Linked DNA regions of Macaca mulatta. The protein of the gene in region 3 interacts with the protein of the main gene of each other region in a biochemical or structural test. Links are inferred from orthologs where the notes say so. Each region holds a gene or a part of one and is shown on either strand. Other genes may lie near its edges.

The links. The genes of interacting proteins can lie anywhere in the genome.
Region 1: of the proteins of RPTOR (region 3) and MAPK1, one has a biochemical effect on the other in vitro, tested with the Homo sapiens proteins (2 studies listed by BioGRID, with this or other methods). The link is inferred for Macaca mulatta from reciprocal best matches to the Homo sapiens genes RPTOR and MAPK1.
Region 2: the proteins of RPTOR (region 3) and AKT1S1 interact in a biophysical measurement, tested with the Homo sapiens proteins (2 studies listed by BioGRID and IntAct, with this or other methods). The link is inferred for Macaca mulatta from reciprocal best matches to the Homo sapiens genes RPTOR and AKT1S1.

Annotation. Positions count from the first base shown.
Region 1 is NC_133415.1:31,200,582-31,204,101, forward strand, and holds part of MAPK1 (mitogen-activated protein kinase 1), read left to right. Parts: intron 1-1,674; coding exon 1,675-1,789; intron 1,790-2,091; coding exon 2,092-2,223; exon of another isoform or gene 2,224-2,710; intron 2,711-3,520. UniProt on the Homo sapiens protein: Serine/threonine kinase which acts as an essential component of the MAP kinase signal transduction pathway. MAPK1/ERK2 and MAPK3/ERK1 are the 2 MAPKs which play an important role in the MAPK/ERK cascade.
Region 2 is NC_133424.1:62,332,150-62,334,657, forward strand, and holds the end of AKT1S1 (proline-rich AKT1 substrate 1), read right to left. Parts: intron 1,482-2,508; coding exon 1,338-1,481; 3' UTR 516-1,337; downstream 1-515. UniProt on the Homo sapiens protein: Negative regulator of the mechanistic target of rapamycin complex 1 (mTORC1), an evolutionarily conserved central nutrient sensor that stimulates anabolic reactions and macromolecule biosynthesis to promote cellular biomass generation and growth.
Region 3 is NC_133421.1:90,615,268-90,618,787, forward strand, and holds part of RPTOR (regulatory-associated protein of mTOR), read left to right. Parts: intron 1-573; coding exon 574-677; intron 678-1,308; coding exon 1,309-1,492; intron 1,493-3,191; coding exon 3,192-3,302; intron 3,303-3,520. UniProt on the Homo sapiens protein: Component of the mechanistic target of rapamycin complex 1 (mTORC1), an evolutionarily conserved central nutrient sensor that stimulates anabolic reactions and macromolecule biosynthesis to promote cellular biomass generation and growth.

The DNA.
Region 1 (3,520 bases), on a different chromosome or scaffold from region 3:
AGCCCCAGCTACTCAGGAGGCTGAGGTGAGAGGATCACCTGAGACAAGGAAGTTGATTTTGCAGTGAGGCATGATTACACCATTGCACTTCAGCCTGAGTGACAGAGTGATGATACCATCTCTTAATTTTAGAAGAGTCACCTTATATTCCTTGGAGAAACATCTTTTTTGCACCATTGTTATAATTCAGACAGAATCCTTACATGATTTTTTTTTTATTTTTATTTTTAGAGACAGGGTCTCACTGTGTCACTCAGGCTGGAATGCATTGGCTCAGTCATAGGTCACTGCAGCCTCCAATCCCTGAGCTCAAGTGATCCTCCCACCTCAGCCTCCCGAGTAACTGGAACTGCAGGTGTGAGCCACTGTGTGTGGCAAAAATAATAATAATAAAATAATTAGATAATACCCGGTGTTGTTGAGGACATGAGGAAATGCATTTTCTTTCACATGCTGCCATTAGGAGTCTAACAGTGCTCACTGCAGCCTCAAACTCCTGGCCTCAAGCAGTGCTCCCACCTCAGCTTCCCAAAGTATCCTCCCATGACTTCTAACAGGATTCCTTTAAAAGAAAATATATTCCTGAAAAATGAATAGGAAAAGAAGATGAGAATTCTTTTATTTATTTATTTATTTATTTATTTATTTATTATTATTTTTTGGAGATGGAGTCTCCCTCTGTTGCCCAGGCTGGAGTGCAGTGGTACAGTCTTGACTCACTGCAACCTCTGCCTCCCAGGTTCAAGTGATTCTCCTGCCTAAGGCTCCCAAGTAGCTGGAACTATGGGTGCCCACCAGCACACCCGGCTAATTTTTGTAGTTTTAGTAGAGACGGGGTTTTACCATGTTGGCTAGGCTGGTCTCCAACTCCTGACGTCAGGTGATTCGCCCATCTCAGCCTCCCAAAGTGTTGGGATTGCAGACATGAGCCACCATGCCCAGCCGAGAATATTTTAGAAGAGCTTGGTAAAATATGTTGGAGTTAGCACACTCTCCCCCCAGCCCAGAAAAGATTTTTAGACCTTTTTTCTTTTTCCAGCTCCAATTTATGACAATTCTAAATCTGTCTCTCAAATTGTTTCAAAAAAGGACTGATGTATACTTTGGAAATTCTAATTTAATAAATTAATCAACTTTGTGGGTTTGTTGTTGTTTTGAGACGGAGTCTCACTCTGTCACCCAGGCTGGAGTGCAGTGGCACGATCTTGGCTCACTGCAACCTCTGCCTCCTGGGTTCAAGCAATTCTCCTGCCTCAGCCTCCCACATAGCTGGAATTACAGGCACCCACCACCATGGCCGGCTAATTTTTTTTTATTTTTAGTAGAGATGGGGTTTCACCATGTTGGCCAGGCTAAGCTCAAACTCCTGGCCTCAAGTGATCTGCCCACCTCTGCCTCCCAAAGTGCTGGGATTACAGGAATGAGCCACTGTGCCCAGCCCAAGTTAATCAACTATGAAGAGAAAAATAAAATCACATAATCTTGGTTGTTCAGCTTCTCAAAGAAAGCCAAATTGTTTTTTGTTTTTCCATGCTGTTTACTCATCTTTCCGAATTGTGGAGTCAAAGGAGAAGTTCAGAGTCCCATCAGCAATGTACCTGTCATACAGGAAGATCTCTTCATGTCCTATAACACCAGATGCCATTTTCAGTCTTGTCTCTCTTTCTCCTGCAGGGCTACACCAAGTCCATTGATATTTGGTCTGTAGGCTGCATTCTGGCAGAAATGCTTTCTAACAGGCCCATCTTTCCAGGGAAGCATTATCTTGACCAGCTGAACCACATTCTGGGTAAGGTTCCCGAGCCCTTCAGGAGCTAAATTTACTCAAGTTTGCCTGCCTACAGCTTATATCAAAGTCACTTCATTAAATTAAGAAGAATTCTAATACACTCTTTAACCTGTGGTAGGTGTGAATTTTTAACCTTCCCTGATTTAAAATGTTAAGGACTTTTGTGTAAAAACTTAAGAAAGGTAAGCATTAGGGGTGGTGATAAACCGTTAATTATCAGGGTTCATTCTGACTCACAGTTGATGGTGTGTAGTCATTTGCCTTGGTCTTGATAACTAACAGCTAATTTTTTTATCTGATAGGTATTCTTGGATCCCCATCACAAGAAGACCTGAATTGTATAATAAATTTAAAAGCTAGGAACTATTTGCTTTCTCTTCCACACAAAAATAAGGTGCCATGGAACAGGCTGTTCCCAAATGCTGACTCCAAAGGTAAATGTTATTTCGTTGATTAGTTTTTTCTAGACTTAGCTTCATGTTTGTTAAATTGTTAGGTCACTAGCCTGAAAAGTGAGCCTATGGCTATTGGATAATGCTTTCTTTAGTGCTCACTCTGAATTGCTGTCTTCCCTTTTTTTGGGAAACAGTGGCAGTGCAGTAAGGGAGCCTGGTAATGACTGTCTAGTTCTCCCCCTTTTGGTTTCTTTGCTAATTTTAACTTGCATTAAGGTCACTTTCTTTTGTTTTGTTTTTGTTTGGGACAGAGTCTCACTCTGTCGCCCAGGCTGGAATGTAGTGCCCCAATCTCAGCTCATTGCAGCCTCCTCCTCCTGGGTTCAAGCGAGTCTCCTGCCTCAGTCTTCTGAGTAACTGGGACTACAGACACGCACCACCATGCCGGCTCATTTTTGTATTTTTAGTAGAGATAGGGTTTCACTCTGCTGGCCAGGCTGGTATCGAACTCCTGGCCTTTTGATCTGCCTGCCTCGGCCTCTCAAAGTACTGGGATTACAGGCGTGAGCCACAGCGCTGAACCCTGCAAACAAATCACACCTTTTCATCTTGTCACTTGATAATTTTTAAAATCAGGTTTATTGAATAATAATTTACACAGAATAAAATTCACACTTTTTAGTTGTGCGGGCCTCTGAATTTTAACAAACATGAACTGTCGTATAACAACCGCTGCAATTGAGATGTGGAATAATACTCCCATCATCCCCAAAAGTTGCCTTGTGCCGTTTGTAGTGGGTCACCCCTCTCCAAACCCAGTCTCTGGCAATCATTGATCTGATTTCTATCCCTATAGTTGTGCCTTTTCTGGCATGTCATGTTAATGGAATCATGGAGTATGTAGCCTTTTTATGTCTAGATTCTCACATTCAGCATAATGCATTTGAGATTTATAAAAATCCACGTCATTGCTTGTGTCAGTCTCTTCAACAAATGGTGCTGGAACAATTAGACACCCATATGCAAAATTTACAAAACTCAAAATGGAACATAAACCTAAATATAAGGCCTAAAGTTATTAACCTTCAAGAAGAAAACAGGAGAGAATCTTCATGACCTTATGTTAGGCAAAGATTTTTTTTTTTTTTTTTTTTTGAGATGGAGTCTTGCTGTGTCGCCCAGGCTGGAGTGCAGTGGCCGGATCTCAGCTCACTGCAAGCTCTGCCTCCCGGGTTTTTACGCCATTCTCCTGCCTCAGCCTCCCGAGTAGCCGGGACTACAGGCGCCCACCACCTCGCCCGGCTAGTTTTTTGTATTTTTTAGTAGAGACGGGGTT
Region 2 (2,508 bases), on a different chromosome or scaffold from region 3:
GCTCCAGTCCTTTTATAATAGAAGACTCCCGGCTGGAGTTCCTGGCTTTGCTGGTGAATATGTGGCCTCCTCTGGCTCCAACCATCACCCCAAGATTGGGGTCCATGGTCACACAAGACTGGAATGCTCTCTTCCACCCCATGAACCTCTTGTCTTCATATGTATAAAATGGGCACAGAGCCAGGCGCGGTGGCTGACTCCTGTAATCCCAGCACTTTGGGAGGCCGAGGCGGGTAGATCATTTGAGGTCAGGAGTTCGAGACCAGCGTGGCCAACATGGTGAAACCCTGTTTCTACTGAAAATACAAAAATTATCCGGGCGGCAGTGGCGCGTAATCCCAGCTACTCGGGAGGTTGAGGCAGGAGAATCACTTGAACCTGAGCGAGAGTGGGACCCTGTCTCAAAAATAAATAAAATGGACACAGTCATTCCAACCCCCAGCTGTTCACTGATAATCAGACGTTGCCATTCGGTTTCAGAAAATGTTGAATGAACACTCACGACACACCACACATTTATCTGTCAGAGGTAAAACTCTTTAATCTCAGAGCGCCCTTCCCAACTGCCAATCCCCCAACCCCTCACTCTCTCCCCTACACCAGGGCCGGAGAGTGAGGGCCCCTGCCCCCCACCTTGGGTGGACGAGGGCCCTTTAAGGCACCTGTGGAGGTGGGGGGCGAGGGACGGGAGCTGGTACCATCCTGGATGCAGGGACGGGCTTCGATTGGCAGGCTGTTGTGGGGATGGATGGAACCAATGAAAGGGGGTGCCAGAGGCAACGACCCCAGCCCCCGTAGTGTAAAGAATGTAAATTGAAGGCCCCAGGCCAATTCTGGGAACAGGAGGGCTTGGCCACGCCCCCACAGGAAGCTGGAGCCAATCAGGAGGGACAACTCAGGAAAAGCGGACGATGACTATGCGGAGACTGGTCAAGCCCTTTAAAGGATTCGAGCCAATCAAAAATAAGAGCTGCCCAGCGACTAGGGGATGGAGCCAATGACGTGCGAGCAAAGCCCTTGTCGCTAGGCGAAAAACAACGGAATTGACCCATTTAGAGCTTAGAACTGAACGAGCCAATCCCTTAATAGAAGGAATCTGTCGCTAGGCGGAGAGGCGCGACAGACCCAATCGGGAAACGGGACAGATCCCGCTCCTCGGCGCGGGAGGTCATGGGCTGGAAGGGCGACGTGGATTGGCAGAGGCGGCTCAATCCTGGGAACCGGAGACGCAAGGAGGCGGGTCCCGGATCGGCCTCAGATTGGCTGGCCCCGGGAGTGGGGCGGGGGCGTAGTGTGGGACGGGGCGGATGAGGCCCGGGACGCTCCCTCCCTGGGCCTCAGTATTTCCGCTTCAGCTTCTGGAAGTCGCTGGTGTTAAGCCGCGGCCGTGGCAGGTCCCCGAAGACCTGGGTGTCCTCGGCCTCTCTCAGCACCAGCGCGCGCATGCTTGCCGCGATACGGTCCAGGTCGGGCGAAGAGGGCTGCGGGGGGGCGGACGACGACCGGGCGAGGTCAGCGCCGGCAGGGCACGCCCCCTGCACCCACACGCAGCCCAGGGGTGCACCCTGGCTCCAAGCCCACTCCTAGCACGTCCCCGCCCTGCCAGTTGTGCCCTGCGATGCCCACTGCCAGCAATGCCCTTCCCGTCTTGCTCCGCATAGGAACCGTTCTACCCGGTTCAGACACCTCCTCCACGAAGCCTTCCTGCCCCTCTCCCTCCCCTTCTTGGCCTGGGACATTACTTCCTACACATGGAAATGCTGTTGTCTGCTATCTATTAAGGCTGCGTGCACCCTCTCAAGTCTGAGGATCTGGGCTGGGATTTCAGTCATGTTCCAATCAGACCTCTACTGCTGACTAGCTGTGAGCAAGAGGTTTTGCTTCCCTAGGCCTCAGTATCCCCTTCTGAAAAATGGGAGCGGATAACAGGGTCTCTGTGAGGACTGAGATAATCAGCTGTTACTGCTTTATCATGTGGCCACTGCGCTACAGAAAAGATCCCTCCCTGTGTCAGCCCCCACCAAGGAGCGGTCCTGTCATTCCGCCTGCAGCTCCGGCACCTAGTACTGCCTCTACTACAGCCCCCGTCACCCTGAGCTGGGCCTGTCCCCTCGCAGGATGGGACCCGGAGACCCAGATCAGGAACTGGATCTGAGCCCAGTGGGAGACCAGCTCCTGGGCACAGCACTCTGGAGGCCAGAGCGTTCAATTAACTGTGTTGCCATGAGTCGCCAGCACAGACATCAGCAGCAGGAGGACCCTGGCTGCACCAGGCCCTGTTTCTGGTCTTCGGCGCTCACTGCCTCATTGAGGGAAGATGCACAGAAGAGGTCACCACTGTGACTGCTGGTTTGCACATGAGGACACTGAGGCCTGAGGGGGAACTGTGGGGACCCAGGCCTCCTCCCTCAAAGCCCACAGCTCCTTCCTGAAACGCAGCTGGGTTCCAGTCCCAGCTCTGCCTCTCAGGGAAGTCACATGTCCCCTCAGTGCCTCAGTTTCCCCTCT
Region 3 (3,520 bases):
CCAGGTCCTGGGTAGATGAAGCCCTCCCTGACCCTCCACGAATGCCACCGTCACCCGGCTCCGGAAAGAGCACGGCTGGTGGATTCTTCCCGGGCCTCAACTCACAGCCTCTGACCGGAGAACTGAGGTGTTGGGGAGCACTGGACTCAAGGCCAGGACGGTGCAGAGGCCCAGCCTCAGGCAAGGGGGAGGACACTGAGGCCGCCCAGGAGCCGCCCCTCTGGCAGGGAAGGTGAGGAGGGCGGGCCTTCGTCCATCTCAGAGGCTTCAGGCCCTGACCCCTTGGGAGCCTCAGGCAGAGCTTCCTCCCCAGACATCCCAGCTCCCACGGCCACGCCAGGGCTGGCCCAGCGGGTGCGTGTCCTCTAAGAGTAAAGAATATGCCCTTTGAGCTTGGGGTTGCATTTAGGGGGAATCCAGCTGGGGCCTTCCATTGGTGTTGGCGCTTCCTCGGTCAAAGGCCTTTTCTGGGACTGAAGCGGCTCCACGGCAGCCACCAGCCTCTGCTTCTTGTGGCGGCCTCCACAGAGCGCGTCCCGTCTGACCTTCACACCCCCATGCCTTTGCCCCTAGGCCACCGTGAATGCCCGGCCGCAGCGCGTCCTGGACACCTCCTCCCTCACACAGTCGGCCCCTGCCAGCCCCACCAACAAGGGTGTGCACATCCACCAGGCGGGGTAAGTGCCGCCCGCTCAGCCTGCAGGTCCATAGTGGTCACCAGGGCCCCACGGGCTGAGCTCTCCCTGAGTCAGCCTCCCCATCCTCCTCCTTCCCCGCCCTGTCTTGGCTTCATCTCCTCCCCCCTCTCTAATGGGCATTCTCTTTCCCTCTCCCTCCTGGACACCCCGGTACCCTGCCTTGAACTCTCCCCTATCTTGAGAAACCCTTCATTTGCACATCGTCTCAGCAAAAGTTGAACTAAGCCTGGTCTCTGTGGCCTTTCAGAGTTCTCAAGAGGGGATCTAGATCTCCAAGTGGGTAACCAACAGGTGTTTGCACCTCAGGACGTGGCACTGCTGTGCGCTGAGCTTGCGCATCCCGGCCCACTCGGCTCTGAGCTGGTTTCGTGCTGTCCACATTGCCTTCCAGGGCGCTGGAGTTCAATGAGGGACACCCCTGCCCCCTGCCAGTCGGGCAACTGAGCAGCATGGACTCGGCACCAGCAGCTGGTGTGCCGGGAGACTGAGGACACCCTGGGCCCTGGTGGTATCTGGGAGGGTGCAGGTGGCCCAGGAAGTTGTTCCATGTTTCCCCTCGAAGCTCCAGACTCCACAGAGAACGCAGTGTTTGTTTTTCTCCCAATGGCAGGGGCTCCCCTCCAGCGTCCAGCACCAGCAGCTCCAGCCTGACCAATGACGTGGCCAAGCAGCCGGTCAGCCGAGACCTGCCTTCTGGCCGGCCGGGCACCACAGGCCCCGCGGGGGCGCAATACACCCCTCACTCCCACCAGTTCCCCCGGACACGGAAGATGTTCGACAAGGGCCCAGAGCAGGTACGGAGCCCCGGCTGCCTCGTGATCTGGACACTGATAGTGTTGCTTCTCAGATGGGGGCTCATGGCCTCGGCCTCAGGCTGTTTACGTCGGGCACTGCCCCTTGCTCATGCACCCCCTGCCTGCACTCTTTAGGAGTACTGCCAGGTTTGTCCTGGTTCTCCGCCCCTGGTTTTGGGTTCACCATTCTTGGCAGCTTCCATGTAACGAAACAGGAGCGTGGAGTTACCCGGCTCTCCCCTTCCTGGGCGTACAGCACTCTGCGTCCCCTCAGGGGCAGCTGCACTACAGAGCGTTTGTTCTGAATGGGTTGTCTTTTCTGTGAATGTCCAAGTACACTGCATAAATAGGTGCGCTCTCTTTGCCTTTAACTAAGTTGAAAAAGAAATTTCTGGAGAGAGGAATGTGTGCTTTGTTTTGCTGGGGTTGTGCGAGCGTTGTGAGGCGGTGGCTGGTCTGGAGACCTCGGCTGTCTCGTCCAGGCGTTGCCACTTTGTCACTTGAGGGCACCGGAGCTCAGGAAGGTGGTTCAGGGCACACCCAGCACACCCAGCTGCTCTGGGTTCTGACAGCATGATCAGCTCAGCAACGGAGTGGGGTCCGGGGCTCGCTTGGTCATTCAGTGATTTTAAAAGAAGTTAGTGGCCGCCTTGCAGGGTGCCTTGGAGCAGGAACGGCCATGTTGGGGTAGAAGAGCTGTCACAGCAGGAGCAGGCAGGTCCCCACAGGTGCTGCTCAGCCCCAGCCCACCTGGACTTTCCGTGTCTTGGCAGAGGAGGAGCAAGAACCACCACCGAGCCCCAAGTGCAGGGTCAGCCTCCTGGCCAGCCCCTGATGGGGACAGGAGGCCACGGTCCTGGGGAGCAGTGCCGCCGGCACGTGCAGCGCCCCCACCTGACCCCGCCCTGGGCCACGGCTCTCACTGCAGAGCCAGAGCAGCTGCCTAGGGTGGGGGGGATGCACCTCTCACTGCGCCTGCCCTGGGATCACGGGGAGCTCCCTATGCCAAGACACAGCAGGAGAGATGCCAGCAGGCCCACCCCCACGCATATGGCGTGGCACAGGAGACCCCTGGTGCCCAGCCTCACTGCACAAACACACACAGACTCTGACAGCCCTGGCCGCCGCAGGTTCCACAACAGGAAACACGCAAAGCTCAGTCCTCCTCAGCTCCACATCCTCTTTCTCCAGGGGCTGGGAGCCCAGCCGGCCTGCACAGCTGCACGCTCCGTCCAGGCCACTTCACACGGAGTCCCCGCTCTCAGCCTGCTGTCACGGGGCCATCAGGGGAGCTGTCCTGGGACCACGCGGCGGAGGCTTTTTGGGGTTGATAGACCAGCACACAGGGACGCGCGTGGCACTGTCTGGACAGTCGGCTAGAATTGACTTGGGAGCTGTGGTGGGTCGGCCCTGGGGATGATGGGACAGACGTGGCTCACGCTTCACAGCCCGGGCCCCTCAATCCCTGGCCAGACATTTAGGGGTTCTCAGCCCGGGCCCCTCAATCCCAGGCCAGATGTTCAGGGGCTCTTGGTCACCAGAATATGGAAGTGAGCAGAGCACAGAAGTGCTGTCCTTAGGGGCAGCCCGGAGCGCCCGGCAATGCCTTTGTCCCCTGCTGGAGCTCTTTTGAGCTTAAGAGTGGCATGACTGACTGGTGTTTCTTTTTCCTTCCACCCCTCCTGCTTAAACCCTGAAGACTGCGGACGATGCAGACGATGCTGCTGGACACAAAAGCTTCATCTCCGCCACGGTGCAGACGGGGTTCTGCGACTGGAGTGCCCGCTATTTCGCCCAGCCCGTCATGAAGGTACGCCCGGAGCACGGGGTTGAGAGTAGAGTCCTAGCGAACGTGTGTCTGTCCCACGTCTTTGAGCATAAACACTCAGGGCTCGTGGCTGTGGGAGTGTCGCTGTTGTGGTAGTGGTAGTGGTAGTGGTAGTGGTTGTGGTTGTGGTAGTGGTTGTGGTTGTGGTTGTGGTAGTGGTAGTGGTAGTGGTTGTGGTTGTGGTAGTGGTAGTGGTTGTG